6 linked regions of the Kluyveromyces lactis genome follow. The protein of the gene in region 5 purifies or fractionates together with the protein of the main gene of each other region. This does not show direct contact. Links are inferred from orthologs where the notes say so. Each region holds a gene or a part of one and is shown on either strand. Other genes may lie near its edges.

What was found.
Region 1: the proteins of SEC26 (region 5) and GLO3 purify together in Saccharomyces cerevisiae (affinity purification with mass spectrometry; 4 studies listed by BioGRID). This does not show direct contact. The link is inferred for Kluyveromyces lactis from reciprocal best matches to the Saccharomyces cerevisiae genes SEC26 and GLO3.
Region 2: the proteins of SEC26 (region 5) and RET2 purify together in Saccharomyces cerevisiae (affinity purification with mass spectrometry; 5 studies listed by BioGRID). This does not show direct contact. The link is inferred for Kluyveromyces lactis from reciprocal best matches to the Saccharomyces cerevisiae genes SEC26 and RET2.
Region 3: the proteins of SEC26 (region 5) and SEC28 purify together in Saccharomyces cerevisiae (affinity purification with mass spectrometry; 5 studies listed by BioGRID). This does not show direct contact. The link is inferred for Kluyveromyces lactis from reciprocal best matches to the Saccharomyces cerevisiae genes SEC26 and SEC28.
Region 4: the proteins of SEC26 (region 5) and SEC21 purify together in Saccharomyces cerevisiae (affinity purification with mass spectrometry; 4 studies listed by BioGRID). This does not show direct contact. The link is inferred for Kluyveromyces lactis from reciprocal best matches to the Saccharomyces cerevisiae genes SEC26 and SEC21.
Region 6: the proteins of SEC26 (region 5) and COP1 purify together in Saccharomyces cerevisiae (affinity purification with mass spectrometry; 8 studies listed by BioGRID). This does not show direct contact. The link is inferred for Kluyveromyces lactis from reciprocal best matches to the Saccharomyces cerevisiae genes SEC26 and COP1.

What each region holds. Positions count from the first base shown.
Region 1 is NC_006041.1:616,762-620,315, reverse strand, and holds GLO3 (ADP-ribosylation factor GTPase-activating protein), read right to left. Parts: upstream 2,186-3,554; coding exon 638-2,185; downstream 1-637. Other genes in the region: MRX3 (Mrx3p), read right to left, coding at 2,864-3,554. UniProt on the Saccharomyces cerevisiae protein: GTPase-activating protein for the ADP ribosylation factor (ARF) family. Involved in retrograde vesicular transport from the Golgi to the endoplasmic reticulum.
Region 2 is NC_006040.1:975,899-979,559, forward strand, and holds RET2 (coatomer subunit delta), read right to left. Parts: upstream 2,121-3,661; coding exon 510-2,120; downstream 1-509. Other genes in the region: proteasome regulatory particle lid subunit RPN12, read right to left, coding at 1-105; ZIP2 (Zip2p), read right to left, coding at 2,424-3,661. UniProt on the Saccharomyces cerevisiae protein: The coatomer is a cytosolic protein complex that binds to dilysine motifs and reversibly associates with Golgi non-clathrin-coated vesicles, which further mediate biosynthetic protein transport from the ER, via the Golgi up to the trans Golgi network.
Region 3 is NC_006039.1:798,591-801,290, reverse strand, and holds SEC28 (coatomer subunit epsilon), read right to left. Parts: upstream 1,472-2,700; coding exon 590-1,471; downstream 1-589. Other genes in the region: GET complex subunit GET2, read right to left, coding at 1-279; ARE2 (sterol acyltransferase), read left to right, coding at 2,082-2,700. UniProt on the Saccharomyces cerevisiae protein: The coatomer is a cytosolic protein complex that binds to dilysine motifs and reversibly associates with Golgi non-clathrin-coated vesicles, which further mediate biosynthetic protein transport from the ER, via the Golgi up to the trans Golgi network.
Region 4 is NC_006041.1:1,173,203-1,177,329, forward strand, and holds the start of SEC21 (coatomer subunit gamma), read left to right. Parts: upstream 1-1,304; coding exon 1,305-4,127. Other genes in the region: CCR4-NOT core subunit CAF40, read left to right, coding at 1-1,019. UniProt on the Saccharomyces cerevisiae protein: The coatomer is a cytosolic protein complex that binds to dilysine motifs and reversibly associates with Golgi non-clathrin-coated vesicles, which further mediate biosynthetic protein transport from the ER, via the Golgi up to the trans Golgi network.
Region 5 is NC_006039.1:1,328,982-1,333,414, forward strand, and holds SEC26 (coatomer subunit beta), read right to left. Parts: upstream 2,947-4,433; coding exon 31-2,946; downstream 1-30. Other genes in the region: KLLA0_C15301g (uncharacterized protein), read right to left, coding at 3,202-4,433. UniProt on the Saccharomyces cerevisiae protein: The coatomer is a cytosolic protein complex that binds to dilysine motifs and reversibly associates with Golgi non-clathrin-coated vesicles, which further mediate biosynthetic protein transport from the ER, via the Golgi up to the trans Golgi network.
Region 6 is NC_006042.1:478,769-483,134, reverse strand, and holds the start of COP1 (coatomer subunit alpha), read left to right. Parts: upstream 1-1,452; coding exon 1,453-4,366. Other genes in the region: CRR1 (putative glycosylase), read left to right, coding at 1-952. UniProt on the Saccharomyces cerevisiae protein: The coatomer is a cytosolic protein complex that binds to dilysine motifs and reversibly associates with Golgi non-clathrin-coated vesicles, which further mediate biosynthetic protein transport from the ER, via the Golgi up to the trans Golgi network.

The sequences.
Region 1 (3,554 bases), on a different chromosome or scaffold from region 5:
TGTTGCTAGTATTTCGGTTCAGCAGGACTTTCATTTACTCCTTTCTTCACCTCTTTCTTCTCGAACTGTACACGAGATATACCTCCGACATGACAAGATTTGTTTATGGCCCATGACTACGCGTTAATATCTTACTTCGAATCGACCTTAATCTTCTTGTCTTTCAAGAACATATCATTCTTTAAATCAACTTTCTAAATGCTACTTAATCAATAATTGTCATGATCACTGGATTGCATAATCCTTATTTCGCTACTCAAGCTACTAAATAATCATTAAATAATACGTAAAGCACAATAGACACTTGGTATTCCTTGGAAAATGTAGGTGTGTTGAAAAATCTCAAACTCTGACTACACACTGGGTGTTTGGAATGATCCTATATTTATTATTATCCAAATAATGGCGGTATTCATATTATGGTACAACGAAGAGATGTGTGACTGAAAAGGGTATCCTATTAAGGACAAGCTTTCATCTATTTGTTTATTTGTTTCTATTACAATAAAGCCATAAAGTTTTGTTCAGATTTTTTTTCATAGAAGGGAACTTATGGGGAACTTATGGCACTGATACTATTAACGTTAACTCCTTGATGAATGACTATACTTTATCTTACAATAAACTAACATAGGAATTAATTTCTCATGTAATCTCTTAGGTAGTTTCCTAGCTTTTGCGCTCCTTGTTCAACAGCGTTCTTCAACAGGTCAAATTCGTCATCAGCACCAGACGTGAACTCCATGAAGTTTCGTCCGCCAAGAGAACCGCTTCTGTTTGTTCTTGTTCCATTTTGTGGATTCAATGGTCTTCCAAATTCGTCGAACTGATCTTCGCTCTGGCCTTCGCCAAAGTATGAGGCTGAAGAAATAGATGTGGCATTACTGAAGTTCTGTCTGAGTTTTTCTTGAGCTTCTTTACTTGCCTCGTCATCGTAGCTTCCACGAGAAAACACCTGGTCTGAAGAGATACCCTTTTGTTCTCCGAATTTTTGGGCAATCTTACCTGTGTACTTTGGACCAGAGGCAGCCCTCCTTGATTCGTTAGTTTTGTTTTGTTCCTTTTCTGCATTATTGGAAGTCATACCAAACCCAAGTTTAGCCAACTTTGGTTTTGCCGCATCTTTGCTTCCAGTTAATCCTACATTGGAAGCATTGATTTGATCGAAAGTAATACCATCATTGTATCTGTTGGACCATTCGTCGTCCTCCGCGTCTTCGACATTGGTAGATGGCTTGGTTATTTTGCTGCTAGAGCTGAAACCAGATTTTTGTTGGAATGGCGCAGGAGTGGCATCGTATATGGAATTCGATAAATTATTGGAGTTAAGGGAAGTGGTGGCGAGACTTGAGGCCAATTCTTCCTCTTCCTTGGCTTCTTTTTCGAATTGATCAAACAAATCAGCATCCACCTTCTTGGCTGCAACCGGTTTCTTTGACTTACGAGAGGAGGAAAGGATGGAATGTTTCTTTGCTTGAGAAGAGCCTGCTGATCCTGTCAAAGTAGTTCTCTTAGTTGTAGTGGATCTAGCACCGTTGCTGGTTTTGTTGGCAGAACCACTTCCGGACAGAATAGAAGAACCATTCCTATTGCCAGTATTGGTTGGTGTTAAATTTCTAGGAGATGACGTCAAAGATATGTTACTTTGGTTTACAGGCTTTTCCCAGTTTGAGAAGAAATCATCAACGCTGTTGCTCTTTGAAGAACCAGAACTGCCCCCTGTGAATTCTTGTTCATCTTCTGCTGAAAATACAATTTCACCTGGATGTTGTTCAGCGTCTCTAGCCACTTTTTGATTCAAATGGCTCTGCCATTTCTTGGCTACCTGGCTTGTATATTTAGCCATCCGGTTGCTAGAAGAACCCAAATATTGTTTGCCGTTGTTCTTTAAGAAAAAATCCTTTGCCTTATCGTTACCACCAAGTTTGAACCTTCTCAAATTGTTGACAGTCCATTTGTCCAAATTACTTGACTTCACAAAAGTAATATGGGTACCCATATTTCTGTGCTCACCGGAACAATCGATGCAAAGAAGAACACCGAACGGAACTGAAGTCCAGGTAGGATTTTTGGCGCCACAGTCGAAGCATGCCCTGTTTTCAGACTTGGTTGTCAGTCTAGCAAACACTTTAGTCACGACTTCCTTGTCACAGTACACTTCTCCCGATTCGTCAATGCTAGCCATGGTTTAATTAAAATAAATCCTCTTGTAATGATAATGAAATGCTGAAATTCCGGAAAAAAAAACACCCTTGTGTTAAGTTAATAAGTTGATGCTAAGATACGGCAATAAAGATTCACGTTCCTGTAGCAGATTATCCTGGTAAATTCAGATCGTATCTCAAAAGCTAGATCAATCGCAAGAAAAAACTCTTAAGTATCAATTTTAGAAAACAGAGTACTTAATAACACGCTTTCTTACCACCTTAATAATAACTTGCGAAAAATACTTCTGTAAGTTCGGCGTGTCCCTCCCGCGCTCAAAGTGTGTACAGTAGTCTGTTGCACCTGTTATGATGTTACCAGCAGTGTAAAAAACTTAACTAAGACCAAAAACTACGTTCCTTAACGGTCCAAAATTTGAATAACCGTTCTGTCCTGTGTTAAAACCTTTTCTGTTTAGAAATTCGATCTTTCAATTTAAAGATGTCAAAGAAAATAGCAGATATGAATAGTCTGTATTATTATTACCCGGACCAAACAATACAATAGTGGGAATGGGATGATGAATTAACTGGTATTCATCATGTCCGAGCACCAGTACAATGCTAGCATATGGTATACTTAATATTGAATGTTGTAGTATGTGAACTAAATATAATATTATTGGCATATATAACGGAGACCTTAAGGTGGTATTAGATCAGAATATGTTAATCCATGAAACGTATTTAAACCATTTAGGTTCCACCAAAATACACGTTGCAGTAGCGTAGACGGTCGGTTTAGGGTTGTATATCCAATTGGGTACGCTCTTAGCCACTAAGGACTTTACGGATCCCAGTTTCGTAGAAGGATCAAGAGGTGGTGATTCCAACGTTCCTGTAATGATACATTTTCTTCCCTTGGTTTCAATGACCTGGGCGTTGAGCACAATGGTGGAATTAACTGGAACATCCTTCTGGAACGATATGTCTAGAGATGCAGTGACTCCACGCTTACTGGGAAGTGTAGGGAACCCGCAGAAACACAAAGCCTCGTCTAATAGCAATGAAAGTACACCTTTATGCACTGCATTCTTTTCGTTGCCTAAATTGTGGCCCAAATGATATATGACGTGGATCTTGTTCTGTGCATTATCTGTAAACACCACCGGATCAATTTCAAGCTTAGTTGGTCCGTAAAGCAACCCTTGACCTACGTGATAATCTCTATGAGGTACAGGGATCTTCTCCGATTGACGATGCATCATATAATCAGACGACTCTTTAAGTTTCTTGACCCATTCTGTGGCCCTAAGTTTATCCAATACATCGGTCCGTTGGTCCTGTAGCGGTCTATGTAACGTTTGTAGTGCTGATTCATCCAAATGCCATGGCTTAACGAAATATCCG
Region 2 (3,661 bases), on a different chromosome or scaffold from region 5:
AATCAATTCAATCTTGATAGGAAGTAGTAATCTCAAACATGTTTCATATTGTTTGCCCTCAAAGGCAGTCTTCAACCCCTTGGTTAGCTCTGGTAACGATGGCATCTTGGTTGCTGTCTATCTCTGTCCCTTTATTTCGGTGGCAAAACATATTCATGCAAGGTCTGAGTTAAGTTAATGTTGATATTTTCAATTTCACTGAATCTTGAATTTCTCATTACATAGTAGTAGATTTATAGGAACTTTGAACAAATGAAAGCAGGCAATGGGTAAGATAGGACACAAGATGCGCCGATCGTATTGCAATAGGTATTAACAGGCCATATCTAATCAATTGCATACGGATCAGATTACCATTTTTTCTTCAGTTTTCGGCTTTTTTTATTACTTTTGGTGGAGTTCACTGTACATTACTTCTTAAAAATACACAAACATGTATAGGATTACTTATATAGTAGCAGTATTTTCTGCTAGAGACACATGCTGCTGTTTAATACTGCAAAGTGCAATTACACTACGACATATTGTTCACTCTTCAAGGTAGATACGGTGTCGAATGGTAGTTCAGTGTCATCTGCGGCAGATACAACAGAAGCAATATTTAGGTTAGACAATGGTTTGGCATTGCTGTTCTTTAAAGCAACTTCGATAGGGAATAACGCATCTTCATAAGCAGCTTGGACAGTAACACTGAATACGCTTGACTGACCGGATTCAATTGGGTCCACCTTAATGATAATACCTTGGGACTCGTCAATGGCCTCTACGATTGCATTAGCCTCGTTTAGATCATCTTTGATGAATACAGTATCGGTGAAGACAGGAATCAAGAAGCGTAATTCATCGATAGTTCCTTCGTAATCACTGTTGACTTCATATTCAAAAGTAACATCAATGGCATTATCCGTTTCTGAAGATGGAGACAACCATGTTGAAATTTCTAATGGGATCAAATCATGTTCATCAGCACCCTTAACCTTACGCCATCTTAGCACACCCAAACTTTGATCATTGGATGGGAATGGTTTGTTAGGATCTCTTAGCCCGATCGTTTTGTTAGTTAAGAAACCAGCCTTGTCCACATTTGGATGGGTTTTGAATTGATACGTTTTGTCCTTGACATTGACGTCTGTACCGAGACATAGTTTGGCATGTGCAAGATCAGGGTTATTAACACGTAATTCTAACACACCCTTTAACTCTGAGCCCATGATAGCACCATCACGGGAAATTTCAGCGTTAATAGTTTCTTTTACGCTAATTAAAATACCATTGTTGATAGGCTTTTCTTCTTCAGGCAGAGTTGCTGTTTGAACTGATAATGATTGTCTTTCCACGTTCTTGATCGGTCTTTCAACGCCTCTTCTTGGCCCATTGACTTGCAAACCTTTACCACCCAAAGGCTCACGGTTTGCATACTGCTGTTGCTGTTGTTGCTGTGGTGCTAAATTCTGTTGTTGAATACCTTGATTAGATTGCGTGTGCATGTGTGACTGTTGAGCCGCGGATGAAGCATGGCTGTAGTAACTGTCATACGCCTTGTTCATAACACCACCATGGATACCGGTGAATTCCTGAGTGTCCGGAATACCCAATTTTCTTGCTTGTTCCTTTCTCGAAATCTCTTTTGCCCTACGCTTTCTTTCTTCCGCTGCTTCGAATTCCTTATTACGTTCAATAATTTCCTGTATTCTTTCCTCATGAGATTCCATTGCTAAGAAGGTCTTAATCTGAGTTAAAGATAGATTCTCCTTGTAGCCCATAGTAATGATTTCATCGAATGAGTTCAAGATATCGAACGCACTATCGAAAACATCTTCCTCACTTAGACCCTTCAGAGTAGAATCAACCGTTTGCACAAAAATGTTCAACGTGTCCATATCCTGGATTATATTGGAATGAAGATTCGTAATCAAAATAATATAGTAATCATCAAATGGCTTGTAAACATATCTGACATGTTCATCTTCAACAAAAGTGTGCTGCTTTGAGGAATTGGCAACTAAAGTCTGGAAATTCGACAACAATTCCATAACACGATCTTTCGTGATATCTCTGAATTGTCTAGACAATAAAGGCTTACCCTTACGAGTAGTGATAGAAACCGCTAGTACAACCATGATTATCAAGCCCTGTTCTCAATGTATCACGTCACAGGTTTCCTGGTGCCTGAATCAAAACTTTAACGAGACTATTATGCTTTCGGAATGATACAGCTTTGCCAGGTTCGTACATTTTTAACTATTTTCAAGTTTTCTATTTTGATATGTTTTGGTTCAGTTCCATTTTCGAAGGGAAAAAAAAGGTTCATCAAAATCAGGAAACCAATACTAGAAGAGTTCGTTCAATATGACTGGTTGAAATAGATCGTGAGTTTAGCTTGGATGGGTAAGGTTCATTCGAGCCGACGTATGAGAATGAATTTACTCTGACCAACTCATTGTCACAAAATCATCAATATGAGCTAGTTGGTATTCTGTGAGAAATTTGCCATATAGTAGGGCTCTTTTTCCATAACTTATTGATAAGAATTCTTCTAATGAGGTGAGTGACAGAATACTTTCAATTGCGATTGGATTGATGTCGAAATGTTGTAAGACCTCTTTGCTAAGGCTCATGCGATAAATTTGCTGTTCATTGGGCGTATTGGTACCACAATATAATGAAATCCACGTTGCTGTTAATTTGAGTTGTGTTTCCTCAACTAGATGAGTTGTTGTCCCACCGAGACAGTTTAATAAAAGTTGGGTCTTGTAAGCTAAGTTGGAATCTAACGCTAACGATCGTTCTGAGTACGATAAGAAGATTACCACTCTTTTATATTTACACTTCAATTCTTGTATTGCTCGGAGTAACGGGAAGCTGTCGACCTGTTTCTGATACACTGAAGTAATATTTCGAAGAATGAGACAGGTAGATGCGTCTAACAAGATATCCGAATGATCCCCCAAATCCATCTCAAGCACACAAAAGTTGTTCTGATGTAAGAAATTGATCAACTTGTAGTTTTTGGCAATATACTCTGCATTAAAAATGATTACTTTCTCTTCAGCATTATGGAAACTTTTATCGCTTAATTGGAAAGTGACATTGGACATTGTAGATTGCTCAACTGTCTCGTTCAGAGTAGCAACTGGGTTAACATCACCATTAGATATGGAGAGTCTCTTCAATTTGGACCGTTTGGCTGCTATTATGCTTACTAAATCTGCGTTTATGAAAGAGCGTTTCCCACTTGTCATTATCCTTTTGTTTGTCACTTCATCGACGTCAGTAGTTTCCTCATTTGCAAGAGAATCAATACACTGACTAGACTCTTGGACATTCTCTTTAGATTTTGGATCGAACTGATCATAACTGATAGCATTTACACTCCTGAAGCTAACGGGAATTTTGGATACCATCAAATCAATTTTGGAACTTGGAATTCTTTTGAAGACAAGCGCATAGGACGTACATCTAACTTGTACATCTCTTAATGATTCAAGTAGTTCCGAGTTTTTTGGCAAGTTTAACTCTTTGAATGGATTCCAATTTAGTCTTTTGATAATTTCGTCACTTATCCTCCATTTTGGCTTAATAGGCTTACTCCTGTAAACTGCTTTCCTCTGGAACTGATCAGCTTTGGGGTTCTCAAGCTTGTATAACTCCAGTGGATGAA
Region 3 (2,700 bases), about 530 kb from region 5:
AGTTTCAGAATTGTCCTTGTTACCGGGAATACTAGAAAGTAAATCTTGAATCTCTTTGGTAGACTTTTCAACTTCTTCGTCACTCACATTGGATGATTTCTTGTTACCTGACGGAGTAACTTTTGGCTCATCAAGAACAGATGTTGAAGACAAAAAGCTATTCTGCTGTTGACCAGTGATCTTGTTCAACCTGCTGGAAGCACCTCCGTTGGAAAACTTCTGTTGCCTTCTTTCCCTCAACAATTTACGTTTCTCAGCATCAGACAATTCAGTAGCCATCTTGTAAACTCCAAATTCTGTGTGAATTACAGCTCAATTCGGGGGAAACTAAAGTAGAATTAGATCGACAATCAAAATAAGAAGATCAACTCCCCTGAATATTCGAACTAAATACAACGCAGGTGCCTTGTAAAACGATACCGAGTGACTGGTTTCAAAACTAACCCTTCACATTGTATAGGATGTTTGATCAATCCGCTTTATCTTGACAGTTCCCACGAAATTGATGGGAAAAAGAACAATGTTACCCGGAAAGTATCGCCAATACCAATACTATTTGCTACTCAAGATCTATTTGATATATATAGATTTAGGCTGTGTACTTTGCCACAATTTGATCGAAAGTCTTGTTATTTTCAAGGTCGGCAACACATAGTGGGTGAGATGGTTTCAATTGTTGCAATTCCGATCTCAATTCGTTTGCATTTCCACCAGATAAGATGGTGTACGTAATCTTATTTGCAAGTAGATCAGGCTTGTACGTTTGTGCTTCTTGTTTGATATCGTAGAACTCGCTTTCTAAGAGGTCGATGATTGCTTTGGATTCAGGCAAATGCGATTGTTGGAGGTGTAAATTCAATAGGCCTAATTGAGTCTTCCAACTTGGGAAAGTTTGAGACAACTCTTCAAAGAAATAGAAATTGGATCCAGTGATCTCTTTACCCTGGTTGAAGTTGATGTATGACTCTGCAAGATTCAAAATTATTTCATCGTCGTTCGATTGCTCCTGAAGTGCTTGGAAATTTTCAAACATAGTCGAGGCAATGGTTGGTTGATTATCCAACAAAGTTATTTGGATGGCCGTTAACAGTAGTTCCGGGGTTCCTCTTGTTTCATCGGAGTCAATTCCTTCAACGGCAACCTCCAAAGCAGTTTTAAACTCGCCCTTTATAGTCAATGCACTTGCTAATAAGTTCAATGCAAATGGAGATCTGCCCGCCTTTTCAACGGTTTGTTCTAGTGCAGTGATTGAGCCTGTAGGTTTGCTTAAAAATTTATAGTAAGCCTCAAATACAGGCCCAAGTGAGCCAGAATCAGCACTACCCTCACTGAACTGGGACAATGCAATCAATGATCTATTTCTGTAGTAAGTCAACGCCTCATCTTCAGTTTTGTTAAACTTAGAAACTTCGTTCAACGCTTCTTCATAGTTACCAGTATAAAACTGCTGTTTTACAGTAAAATAGTCCATTTCTTCTGAGTTGATATTTTTTTCTCAACAAATCTGACGTCGGAAAACTTCAATTAACCGTTATCGTGTATTGAAAGCGACTTTACTGGCTCATTAACGGGTCTATCTCACACGTATCCTTTAATATTGAGAGTCCATATGCTATCTTACTTTGATCCACCATGCGAATTGTCCAAAACTGAAAAACTGACAGGATCAGGGTAATGGATGTTTTTCATTCACGTGATCTTTTTTTTTGTATTTTTCCTTTCTCGAATAATTCTCGAAGGTGTGGATCACCATATGGCGTTTATTTAAGGGATTGAGAGTATTTATCAGAAGAAATTCAGAGCCAGTTACTTTGGACGTTTAAACGATACGGGTTGGAAAAGGAAACAGATTCAGTAATTAACAGTACACTTCTTACGACCATTGGTTAATTCCGGATTTGAGATTTATATTTAAAACGTCTGAGTGAGAGAGAGAGGTTAGCAAGAATTTTTTCCTTCTTAAGACGAATCACGACTTGGCCTAGATTTATCTCAGACTAATTTCATGGTGAAGAGTCAATCCACGTTAATATATCATAAAAGATTTATTTAACTGGATCTTTAATTAAAAACCTGTCATAATGTCCGGTTCAAGTGACAGTTCACATGATACCACCGTTAAGGATATAACTGAGGATGAGCAGTTCTTGAGGATAAGAAGGCTGAACGACAACAACCATGGGAAGAGGAAGTCTTTGCATGAGGAACAGTTGGAGGATGCTGTTCTCGATGAACTTGGATCTCCGGACGTTCTTTTCAACACGGTCCAGCCTAACGACACGGTTATCTTTAAGACTAGAACCACCTCCGAACAAGGCGACAAACATCTGCATGTTTTCATGCAGAAATTGAAGGTGAAGGAAAAGAACAGATATAAGAAGGATACGAATGAAATGCAGTCCATGACACGAGATGTAGACTGGGGCTCTAGAGGTAGTATCATGGATGAGATGGTCAACAATCCGCTTAGATCTCATTTCAATGGGCCAGCAATAGACGAGAAATATTCTAGAGTAAAGGCAACAGCCAGATCAAATACGGTGAGGATAGATGACAATAATACTATTGAAATTGCAAATGAAACTATAGCAACAGACTTTTCTGGATTCTATGTCTTATTTTGGATGGCAGTTGCGTTCACCATCTGCAAAGTGACATTACAATATTACGAGGAACATGGTGATTTTTCACAGTCAATTA
Region 4 (4,127 bases), on a different chromosome or scaffold from region 5:
GTCAAAATCAAACCCAGGGCCAACAGCAACAACAGCAACCCCAAAATATGCCTCCTGGTTTGCAACAAGGAATGCCCCACCCAGTAGTAGAAAACAACCAACTTCCAGGTCAGATGCCTGGGATGGGCCAAGGGCCAACTGCAGGACCAAGTTCAGTTCCTGGGCCAGGTCCCACACCAGCAGGAATAACACATGCGCTAGATGATCCAAATGTCTACCATTGGATATGCCAGCTCACTTACGGGCCAAGCAAAGAACAAGCGCTTCTAGAACTAGGTAAGAAACGTGAACAGTATGAGGATTTGGCTATCGTGCTGTGGTCCAGTTTCGGTGTGATGACGTCGTTGCTAAAGGAAATAATTTCAATTTATCCGCTTCTTTCACCTCCTGCATTATCAAACCAGTTATCAAACCGCGTATGCAACGCTTTGGTGCTCTTACAATGTGTCGCATCACACCCAGATATCAGGCCTCAATTCTTACAGGCTCACATCCCGTTGTTCCTTTTCCCATTCTTATCTACGACATCAAACCAAAGAACTTTTGAATATTTAAGGCTAACTTCACTAGGTGTCATCGGTGCTCTAGTGAAAAACGATTCTGCAGAAGTGATCAGTTTCCTTCTAAGGACAGATATTATCCCATTATGTTTAAGAATCATGGAAAACTCTTCAGAACTTTCGAAGATCGTCGCTATCTTCATCTTACAGAAAATATTATTAGACGATAACGGACTCCAGTTCGTATGCGCGACCCCAGAACGGTTCTACGCGGTGTCACAAGTTTTGGCAACTATGTTTAAGCACATGTCCCAACAACAGGTGCCGGGAAGATTATTGAAACATGTTGTAAGATGCTACCTAAGATTATCGGATAATTTAGAAGCCAGAAGATTGTTGAAACAAGTTTTGCCGCAACAACTAAGAGATAACACCTTCAATGAAGCACTACAGGACGATGTAGGTACCAAGAGATGTCTTGCACAACTACTCCTGACTCTAGATGAACAGCAGCAGTGATCTTGCCTGCTATATCATATATATCTCCATATCCATATATATATATATATATACATATATATCATAATTAAAAAACAAGTGTTACCCTCACTTTCACACACCCGCTTCACTTTTTTTTTCATTCCAAAGGACTTCTACCGATTTGCAAACTGAAAACATTATGAATATAAATATATACCATACCACACGGCAAAAAGAATTGGATAAAACACGAGGTTAATAGGCTCAAAATTGGCTACTAAAGGTTAGTACGTCATTTGAAGGTATCCTAGCACTGCCAATTGCATGTCTGCACAAACTTATAAGAAGTCTGAGGACCCACACAGTGGGTCCTTGCCAGACAAAATGGCGATCTATCAGGATTGTTTGAATCGGTTCAATGAATCTCCTGTGAATCCTAAACTGTGCCGTACCCTGATCACAAGCTTGTTGGAACTATTGTCGCATGGTGAGACTTTCCCTAGACAAGAAGCTACTGCTTTATTCTTTTCCATTTCGAAATTGTTCCAACACCCTAACGATTCTTTGAGACAAATCGTTTACGTGGCTATTAAGGAATTGTGTGGAATCTCCGATGATATCTTGATGGCTACTTCTTCAATTATGAAAGATGTTCAAAATGGTTCAGATCTAGTGAAGCCTAATGCTATTAGAGCATTGATCCGTGTCTTGGATGAGTCCACTGCATTTTCTGCAGAAAGATTATTGAAAAATTCGTTGGTTAGCAAACATCCATCTATTTGTTCTGCTTCTTTGGTCAGTTCATACCATTTATTACCAATCGCTGAAACTACGGTGAAGAGATTTGCTAATGAGACTCAGGAAGCCGTTGGTGATTTGAAACAGTTGCCATATCCAGATGAGAACAGTAGATATTATCCAACTACGTCTCATATCTCTCAATACCATGCATTGGGTTTGTTGTACCAATTGAAGAATCACGATAAGATGGCTTTGATCAAATTGATCCAACAGTTTGCCGGTCATTCTTCACCATTGAAAAATCAATTGGCTCAAGTACAAATGGTTAAATTCGTGCACCAATTGGTTTTGAAGGATCCTAACTCCATCCCCCAGTTCTTACCACTAATAGCTAATTGGTTGCAAAGCAGACACGAGGCTGTTGCTTTGGAAGCTTGTAAGCTTACTGCGTCTCTATCCAACTTGGTTCCTAACGATTTGTTTGCAGCAGCGGTTTCTGTCTTGCAAGGATTCTTGTCCACTCCTCGTGTGACAACCAGATTTGCTGCAGTGCGTTTGTTGAACAAGATTTCTATGGTTTCACCAGAGAAAATTGTGGTATGTAATCCACAATTGGAATCTCTTGTTAACGATAGCAACAGAAACATTTCCACTTACACAATCACTACCTTGTTGAAGACTGGTACCGACAAGAACATTGGTTCTTTGATTAAGACAATTACCAAGTTCATCCACGAGGTGAATGACGATTTCAAGATCATCATTATTGATGCTATTAGAACTCTTTCTCTAAATTTCCCTGAGGAATGTGATACAATATTACATTTCTTGATGGAATCCTTACAATCTGCCGAAGGCAGTCTTCAATTCAAAAATAGTGTCGTGGAAGCATTAATTGATTTAATTCAATTCGTCCCACAATCTAAGGAAAAAGCTTTAGAAGAATTATGTGATTTCATCGAAGATTGTGAATATAATGAAATATTGGTTAGAATCTTACATCTATTGGGTAAGGAGGGTCCAACCACTAAGAACCCGTCATTATACGTGAGACACATTTACAATAGAGTTATTCTAGAGAATTCTATCATCAGATCTGCTGCTGTGTTGTCTCTTTCCAAATTTGCACTTGTTAAGAATGACCCTGAGTTAGTAGAAAGTATTGAACAGCTATTGACTCAAATCAAGACTGATTCAGATGATGAAGTTAGAGATAGAGCATCCATTGCTTTGCAATTCATCGATTCGGTTAAGTCCAAGAAAGATGTTTCCAATATCGCACAAAATTTCATTCGCCCAACTTCTACCTATGACGTTGTTGCTCTTGAATCAAAACTATCACACTATTTGTCACAAGGCCAAGAGGCATTCAAGACTCCATTTGACGTCTCGTCAGTTGCCAAATACTCCGAAGACGAGAAGAAGGCATTGGATTTGAAACGCAGACAAGAGCAAGCCTTCAACCATACAGAAGAATCTTCCAACAGTGGTGCCGGAAATGGTAACGGTACTGAAAAGGGTGGTAGAAAGGGTGATAGATTGGATGACAATAGCTTCAATGGACCTTCATTGGAATCTGAAGAAGAAGATTTGCTATTGTCCAAATACGTGGATGAAATGTCCTCCTTGGAACAATTCCAGTCCTTTGGCAAGTGTATCCATTCTTCCAAGATTGTCCCATTAACGGAAATTGAAGCTGAATTCGTTGTGAAGGGTATCAAGCATTTGTTTGACGAGCACGTTGTATTACAATTCCATATCACTAACACATTGAAGGACGTTGCGCTTGATAACGTTGAAGTGGTATGCCAACAAGAAGGATTATCAGAGGGTTTACTTGACGAACAAGAGGAATTTGTTTTGCCTATTGAAAGACTCTTACCCAATGAAGGAGAGTCATGTTACGTATCGTTCAAGAAACTAACACAGAACAAGGATGATATCATTGTAGAAAGATTCAGCAACTCGTTGAAATTCCAATCCAAGGAATTAGACCCATCTACCTCTTTGCCATTCGAAGATGACGAAGGGTTCCAAGATGAATACGAATTTGATTCATTGTTCTTGAGTCCCGGTGACTACATGAAACCATCATTCGTAAGCAATTTTGCCACCTCTTTGGAAGAACTACCTTATGAATCCGTCTCTGTCTACAACATTGTCGAAACTAACACACTACAAGAAGTCATCGACAAGTTAGTCATTAGCGCTGGTGGTTTACCTTTGGAAAACTCACAAATAGTATCCCACGATGCCACCCAACATACTCTAAAACTTTCAGGAAAATGTATCTTAGACAACACTAAAGCCCTGCTTTCCATCAAGATGATCAAGACAAGTAAGGGTATTGCAATTAAGGCTCTAGTGAAATCCGACAAGGAATCGTTGGCAGAAGACTTATCAAAC
Region 5 (4,433 bases):
GGTGAGATCAAAGTCTTCAAATTATTAACCTCAAACACGATCAACACTAACGATATTCATAGTTCTTCCCATTCTGGTAATATTGTCACCATTGGTTAAAGCTAACCCTTGGGTCTTTGAACGAATACGGATTTCACCAACAATTTCTTGTGTGATTGGATCCTTCTCTATGCACAGGTTAGCCAAAGCGTCCTCGCCAAATGTAGATCTAGAATATAAGTTACAACTTAGGAATCTGGAATCATTGTCGCCGAGTGCCTCTTCAGGGGTTAGAACCTTCATATGTGTAACTTCCACCAACTTCTCTAAATAACCGCGTAAAGATGGTAATTTGGATTTGATACGAAGTTTATTTTCCCATTCAAACGCATTCCACATCTTACGGAAACTGTTATCATCGCAGATTGCTGGTTTCACATAATCCATTGTGTCGATATGAACGTCATTCAAGATGACATAACGAGAATCTTGACCGTGACCACCATCATATATAATGTTACCGAAAATAACACCAGTATCTGCTGAGGACACCTTTGCTGTTATCGTAATTTTGTGGAACCCATGTGGAATAACGTTGGTGCTAGGTGGGTGGTCAATAATTTTTAAGTCACCAAGAGTAGCGAATTGAACATGTAGGTTTTTCAAAGTATCCTTGGTTTGGTTCACTAATAGAACATCTAACACAACATCGAATTGGTGATTAGTGATATAACACTCGGCATAAACAGGATCGCTGAAACCAGTCAATGGGACGATCTTCTTCAATTTTGAAGTGATAGAATTAGCTTGTAGTTTGGAATATGATACAGTACCGGTGGTAGCCAATTTTATATCTTCTTCGATTGAATCGACGGGGGTATTGTGCAAGCCTGCATTCTTAAATTGTCTGAAAACGATGGATTTATCGATGGCCTCGGCGTGCTTGGCTAGGTAGTTTGATCTCTTGGCAGCATTCTTCTTCAAAGTAACATTGACTCTTGATTTGTATGATTCGTTGGTAGCTTCCAAGAATGCCAAACTCAAAAGTTCTTTCTCTGCTTGACTTTCTTCGGTAGAAATCTCGTCCATCAATACCGAAATTGCCGTCATTAGTCTTTCAGCAGAGTCCTCGTCAATCTTCTTTTCTACTAAGTTACTTTGACCTAATCTGATGATACTAACCAAAATCAACAACCCTTCGGCCTTTAGGGCGTTAGTTACAGAAGTGTTCTTGGAAATCTTTTCGAATTTCAACACCAATTTAACGATAGAGTTAGCCAACACAGAGGCAGTAAAGAAATCTCCATTTAGGACGAAACGACGTAAAGGAGGTCTTGCTTCTTTTTCCTCGTTTGAGGTGGATTTGACCTTTTCTGAGACAGATAGAGCAGATTCGGTTGCATAAGTACCATCTGGCAAAACTACCGGCCCTGTGGATACTATTGGGGCCTTTTCAGTATCGTCTTCGTCATCATTTTGAACTCTTCTCAGTTCAGATTGAACAATTGGAACTTCACCTATACTTGAACGGATGTGCTTCCAGGTATTCTGGATTTCTGCTTCGGATTGGGCATGCTCACCTAGTACCCAAAGAGCACCACGGTAAGCCTTTGCTGACTTTACTTCATGCAATGTCTCAATCAAAGTAGTTAAAATCTCAGATCTTAACTCAGGATACCTTTCAATGACCTGTTTTGTAAAGGAAATGACATCATTGGCACTTTCAGACGACAAGTTACCGATAAAATCTAGAAGCAATGAGACAACATTGGAGGAGACTTCAATAAATCTTATTGCCACTTTGTTAATGGATTTGATCAATAATTGCCTGTACTCCAGAGTTTTATCGTTACTGCTATCAGCAGTAGATTGTAATTCTTTCCTCAATAACTTAACTACACTGTCTACGTTTCTGGACGTAATCAATTCTAAGGAGATATCCAAAGCCTTAGCACGGACATCCAAATCTTGTGCGTTCAAAACACGTAGAATATCCAATGTTAGATCCTCTAAAGAGCCTGGATTCTTCTCGTTTATTTCGTTGATTTTTTCTAAAACAACCAACTTGATGTTGTTATCAGATTCTTTTGTGGCCAAATCAATTAGCTTGTTAGCTACGGTCAATAAAATAGCTTCTTTATTGGTTAGAACAGTTAAAGTAATGGCAGCTTCGTACATGACATCCGTAGAACGAGTAGAAACTAAAAGATCTTGCAACAATTCAACATACTGAGAGACCAATCCTGGAGTTTTGATAGCATCCTTTCTAATGAAACTAATGAAGGCGTTTTGTAGCAAAGCATCCAAATTTTCAATCGAAGTTAGGTTGTCCTGTAGGTAGTTCAACGCAGCTTCACGGTCCAATTCTGCAAGACCTAGGAAAGCATTTCTCTTACAAATTGGATCAGTTTCTGCAACCAAAAAGGAATCAATCACTTCACAAGCATCAGGAATCAAATGGTCGCTGACTTTGTAAATGGAAAGAACTGCTAAGATTGCATACTTACGAACGTATGCGTGTCTGTATTCCAAACAAGCACGGACAGAAGGAACCATTTGCTCTAAAAGTTCTGCTTCTTTCAATTTCGTCAAGAATCTTAAGGTATTGCCCCTGATGTATTCGTTTGGATGTTGCAAATCATGTTGGATAGCGTTGCAGACAAGAATCATTTCTTGCTTCAATTTACCTTCACGATCTAATTTTGGAACAATTTCCCAGTAAAAGTATAAAAGCTTCTTCAATTGCTTGTTCTTTGAAGGCATCACAAATCTGATGATGTGCATCAACAAATCTGGTAATGGATTACCATCTAACATGGTCACCAAGATCCTCTTCATGGTCGCGATCTTTTCAGTATCAGACCCCTTTTCCAATGCCTTTTGGAAGTCTGATACGGTATATGTGACCCCATTTGGATTGGGGTCGTACACTAACGTATACGCAGGTTGTTCGACGCCGACTGTCATACCTCAATTGACCTGTGTGTCTTGTGTAGCTTCTTTTAACTTCCTGGTTCTCGCATATGTTATTTCATAACAGAACTGTTCCAAAACAGCATGTTCTTTATTTCAGAATCTCATTTTCGTCCTGAAAATCAACATAAAACAAAGTACGGGTAACAATGAATTTGACCGGGTATTAGAAACGTTAATATATACATTGGTACAAGATACGTATAGATCAAGATATAGATGCAGCAGTAATATTGTTTGAATGATAGTTTATTCTGAATCTGGGTTGGTTATATGCAATCCTGTTCCAGCGGTACCGCGGTAGTAACCGAAATCTGCTACGTCAAGCTCGTAATCATCGTCAGCATTCGAAATGCTAGATTTATGAGATTTGGGATTAGTGTCACCTTTTTCATGTACTGCAGGAGTACATGGCTTTTGAGATTCTTCAATCAGGTTATATTTCCGTAGATCTAGTGGTAGCTGTGGACTGTACGTTACGTCTAGAGTACCGCTTCTCATTCTACCAGCATTTCTCGTGAAATAGCTGGATACAGTATCTGATCTTTTCAAGCGCGTTTGGGAAACTTCGTCATGAATTCTTTGTTTTGGGTTCTCACGCAACGGTGCCATTAAATCATCGCTATCGTATGCCTCATCACCAGGAATATCATCAAGAATATCTTGGTCTGCCTCGGAAATTTTTTCATCCTTGTTGAACAAAGTATGAAATTCCTTAGTATGATCAACTTTTGTGGACTCGGTATTGAATTTGAGGCCTGTAGTACTGTTATTTTCCTCTTCTTCTTCCTCTTCTTTTGTAGTTTCAAGTGATAATAGCTTCTGTTTGGCCTTGCCGTGCTTTATACCGACTTGTCTAGTACTTGTTCGTATTGTAACTTTGATATTTTGTGGTTGTTCAAGAGTATTCTTGTTCTTCAAAGCATAAGGTAGATCTGGAGGCAACTGTAAGGAATTTGACGTGGGGAAGTACAAGAGCCGTAGCTCTTCTATGTAGCTTGAGATGAGTCGAACATTTTTATCTGGAATCGATCCCTTGGTCAAACTTTTCTTGAATTCTGATGACGGAGTCGTGTTGATGGTGTCGTTATCAATGGACTTTGCTTCCAGTGCTGAAGATTGACGAGATTCAGTATTACTTAATAACGAAGATGCTGCACCTTTTTTAGATGAAGATAAAGAACTGCGTCTTGCCAGCGATGCGGTTATGGAATTGGTATCTGTATTCATGTAAGAATTATCATCTTCACTCGTGCTGTCATTGAAATAAAAGTTTGGTTTTTCTTCGTTAACTACTCTGAAATTCCTTCTTTCGTACTCTGATCCACCTATCATTTGATATAAATCATCTTCATCTGTACTTCCATGCTCTTGTTCTGGCTCTGGCATTTGATCATAACCCGCTTCGTATTCGTGCAGATCCGCATAATTTTCTTCGGATTCAGAGCCAGAGGTTTGGTCGGCGTTTGTAACGACAAATC
Region 6 (4,366 bases), on a different chromosome or scaffold from region 5:
CACAAGATCTTTTCTATACGGTAGAGCTACCGTAAAAATGAAAACAGCTAGAGGTCGCGGAGTTGTTACTGCAGTGGTATTAATTTCAACTGTAGGTGATGAAATTGATTTTGAATTTATTGGAGGAGAATTACATCATGCTCAATCTAATTATTATCACCAAGGTGAATTAAATCACACAAGGATGGAAAAGCTAGAACTAAGTTCTGACAGTTTTGAAAATACTCATATTTACGAAGTCGATTGGGACCAAGATAGAATCAACTGGATTGTGGACGGTGTAGTAGCTAGAACATTATACAAGGAAGATACATGGAATGAGGAAAAACAAAGATACGAATATCCACAAACACCAATGAGATTGCAAGTGTCGGTGTGGCCAGGTGGAAGAGAAGATGCTGACCCTGGTACCATAATGTGGGCTGGAGGGCTCATTGATTGGGAAAACTCGCCCGATATACTTGAGAAGGGTCAATTTTATGCAACTGTGGAATCAATAGCCGTTACACCTTACGAAAACAAATTCTGGCCATCAATAGTTGATGAACTAGAAAGATTACATTTACCTATTGATGCTAATTCATTGTTAGATATTACTTACGATTACAATTATGACAAGTTTAATGAGCATACGTGGTTTGAAGATTCAGTCATTTGGAAGAAGGGCAAATTACCTTATTTATCTTCCTTGGACAAGAATGGCCTAAATCCGGGAAGACAGCAACAAAGTCTTTTGGTAGGTAAACAATTGAAGCAAGAGCAGGGAGATGGGCCGGATCAGAGTCCTTCAAACAGGTTTATTCAAGACACTAATAAACCATCGGAAAAAAATCATGAAGAACAAGATTTGCTCCTACGAAACGCTCTGCAGTCACGCGATGCTACCACAAATGGGGGTTCCAGTCACAATAACAGAAATCCTATCAAAAGATTGCTTAATATGCTACATTAATCAGTAAAGGTTGCCCAGATGTTCACATCTACACTATACATGTATAGATATATAGACCTATGTATACCACTCTCGTATATGCTATCTCTTCTAGCATTCTCTTACGCATAGAATCTGTAGAGATGCGTCTGGCACAAATTCGGGTAATTATTACCCTACCATTACGTCCTTTGCATACTCTTCGGATTCTTCCAATTTTCAAAAAGGACAACTTTTCAAATAAAACACGATCTTATTTCAAAATAGTAAGCCATATGTGTATTTTAAGTAATTTTATGAACCTTGAATGAAGCTGACTTTGGCTAATAAACAACGATCAAGGTACTTTGTCGTCTAATTGAGTTGTCAGTGAGGACTAACCATCGAAGGAAAGCTTCAATCGTAACCAATTGGTATATTGTTAACTGCAATTGTGACGTTTTCTTCCGAGTTATTCTTCTTATATTTCTCACAGTTTTTACTCAGATTTAGATCGAAGTCTTGAAAAGCTTGCTTTCATCATGAAGATGTTAACTAAGTTCGAATCAAAGTCTACCAGGGCGAAAGGTATTGCTTTTCATCCGTCTAGGCCTTGGGTTCTGGTAGCACTTTTCTCATCAACCATCCAATTATGGGATTACCGTATGGGTGTTTTGCTTCACCGTTTTGAAGATCATGAGGGTCCGGTACGTGGCATTGATTTCCATCCAACGCAACCTCTTTTCGTTTCTGCAGGTGATGATTATACTATCAAAGTATGGTCTTTAGAGAGCAACAAGTGTCTATTCACATTGGACGGCCATTTAGACTATGTTCGTACAGTATTCTTCCATCACGAATTGCCATGGATTATTTCCAGTTCCGACGATCAAACCATCAGAATCTGGAACTGGCAGAACAGAAAGGAAATAGCATGTTTAACTGGCCATAACCACTTCGTAATGTGTGCCCAATTCCATCCAGTCGAAGATTTGGTGGTTTCTGCTTCTTTGGATGAAACCGTTAGAGTTTGGGATATTTCAGGGCTAAGAAAAAGACATTCCGCACCAGGCACTCAATCATTCGAAGAACAAATGAGACAGCAACAGAACTTACTTGACGGAGGATTTGGAGATTGTGTGGTGAAGTTCATTTTAGAAGGCCACACTAGAGGAGTAAATTGGGCTTCTTTCCATCCAACTTTACCATTGATCGTTTCCGGTTCTGATGATCGTCAAGTGAAATTGTGGAGAATGAGTGCCACAAAGGCATGGGAGGTCGATACTTGTAGAGGTCATACCAACAACGTTGATTCCGTCATTTTCCATCCTCAACAGAATCTCATTATATCAGTTGGTGAGGATAAAACCGTAAGAGTATGGGACTTGGACAAGCGTACTCCAATTAAACAGTTCAAAAGAGAAAATGACAGATTCTGGTTAGTGAGAGCTCACCCAAACCTAAATCTGTTCGGTGCTGCTCATGATTCTGGTATTATGATCTTTAAGTTGGACCGTGAAAGACCACCAACTGCTATAAACCAAAATCAGTTGTTCTTTATCAACAGGGAGAAACAAGTCCAAATGTTTGATTACCACAAGAGAATCACTTCTCTACCTTATCTTTCTTTGAAAAACATCGGCAAGACCTGGAGTTCATTTAGAAGTATGTCTTATAACCCATCCCAACATTCCGTCCTTGTCAACTCCTCCGAAAAGGAAGCCAACAGGTTCAGCTTATGTGTCTTACCTAAACAACCTAGTGGAGCTGTTGAAGCTAGCAACGTCATCTCTGATGATGGTAGTTTTGCGATCTTCGTTGCTCGTAACAGATTTGTGGTGCACAATGGCAGCACTAATAGCTTGGAGGTTCGTAGTTTAGATAACAAAACCACAAAGTCAATCAAATTAACTGATACTGTTAAAGACATCACATTAGCTGCTCCTGGTACTGTTTTGATTCTATATTCTCATTCTGTGGTAATGATGGACGTCCAACAAGGTAAAATTCTTCATGAATTATCTTTAAAGAACATCAAGTATACAGTGTGGTCTCAAGATGGCCAATATGTTGCATTGATGAGTAAGCATACATTGACAATCGCAAACAGAAAACTGGAAATCGTTACATCAAACCATGAAAGTATTAGAATCAAGAGTGCAAGTTGGGATGAAACCGGTGTCCTAATTTATTCAACATTGAACCATATCAAATACTGTCTATTGAATGGTGATTCTGGTATCATTAAAACCTTAGAAAGAACATTATACATCAACAAGGTACATGGCAAATTTGTCTATGCTTTGAATCGTGAAGGGGAAGTAGAGATTTTGACAATTGATCCTACTGAATATCGTTTCAAGAAGACTTTAGTCAACAAAAATTTCCCTGAGGTATTGCGTATCATTAAAAATTCAAATTTAGTTGGTCAAAACATCATATCTTATCTTCAAAAATCAGGCTATCCTGAAATTGCGTTACAATTCGTGGAGGATCCTCAAACAAGATTTGATTTGGCTACACAATACGGTAATTTGACAGTTGCTCTTGAAGAAGCTGAGAAATTGAACAATGAACTTGTATGGGAAAGATTGGGCAAAGAAGCTTTGATCCAAGGTAACACAGATATCGCTGAATTGGTATATCAAAACACTAAGCAGTTTGATAAACTGTCTTTCCTATATCTACTTAAGGGAGACAACTCCAAACTGGCAAAAATGGAGTCTATTGCTGAACATAGATCAGATATTTCCGGCTTGATTCAAAATACCTTTTACAATAACTCAGTTCAGAAGCGTGCAAATGTCTTTTTAAATGCAGGCTCTGCTCCTTTGGCTTATGCAGTGGCAAAAGCTAACGGCGACGATGACCTTGCCACTTCCATTTTGGAATCCGAAGAAATTGATGAGCAAGACATTTCCCTACCAACTGAACTCAACTCCTCCACAAATGTAAAAACCCCTGTCATTTCTGCTCCTTTGAAAAACTGGCCGTTAAAGCAAGCTGAAGTCTCATTCTTTGAAAAAGCCCTTTTGGGCCAAATCGAAGATCTTGAAATTTCTGATGATAAGGAAGAAAATGTTTCAGATACTACCCAAAATGTTGGCCAGTTTGATTTAGGAGAACAAGATAACCTAGACTTTGATGATGAAGCTGTTGGAGAGGAAGAAGATGCTTGGGACCTAGACCAAAATGATTTGGAATTAGACGACGAGTTAGAGATCGAAGAATCCGAAGTGACTGAAGAACAAGTAGATGAATCAGAATTGCCAATGTGGGTTAAAAATTCAAAGCTTCCAGCAGTTCTAGTAGCCGCTGGAGCCTTTGATGCTGCTGCCCAAGCCTTGAATAAGCAGGTAGCCGTTGTAAACTTCGAACCCCTCAGGACACCATTCATTGATATATACGATGGTGCAAGAACTTATATGAGTGCTACACCAAATGAATTACCTTCAA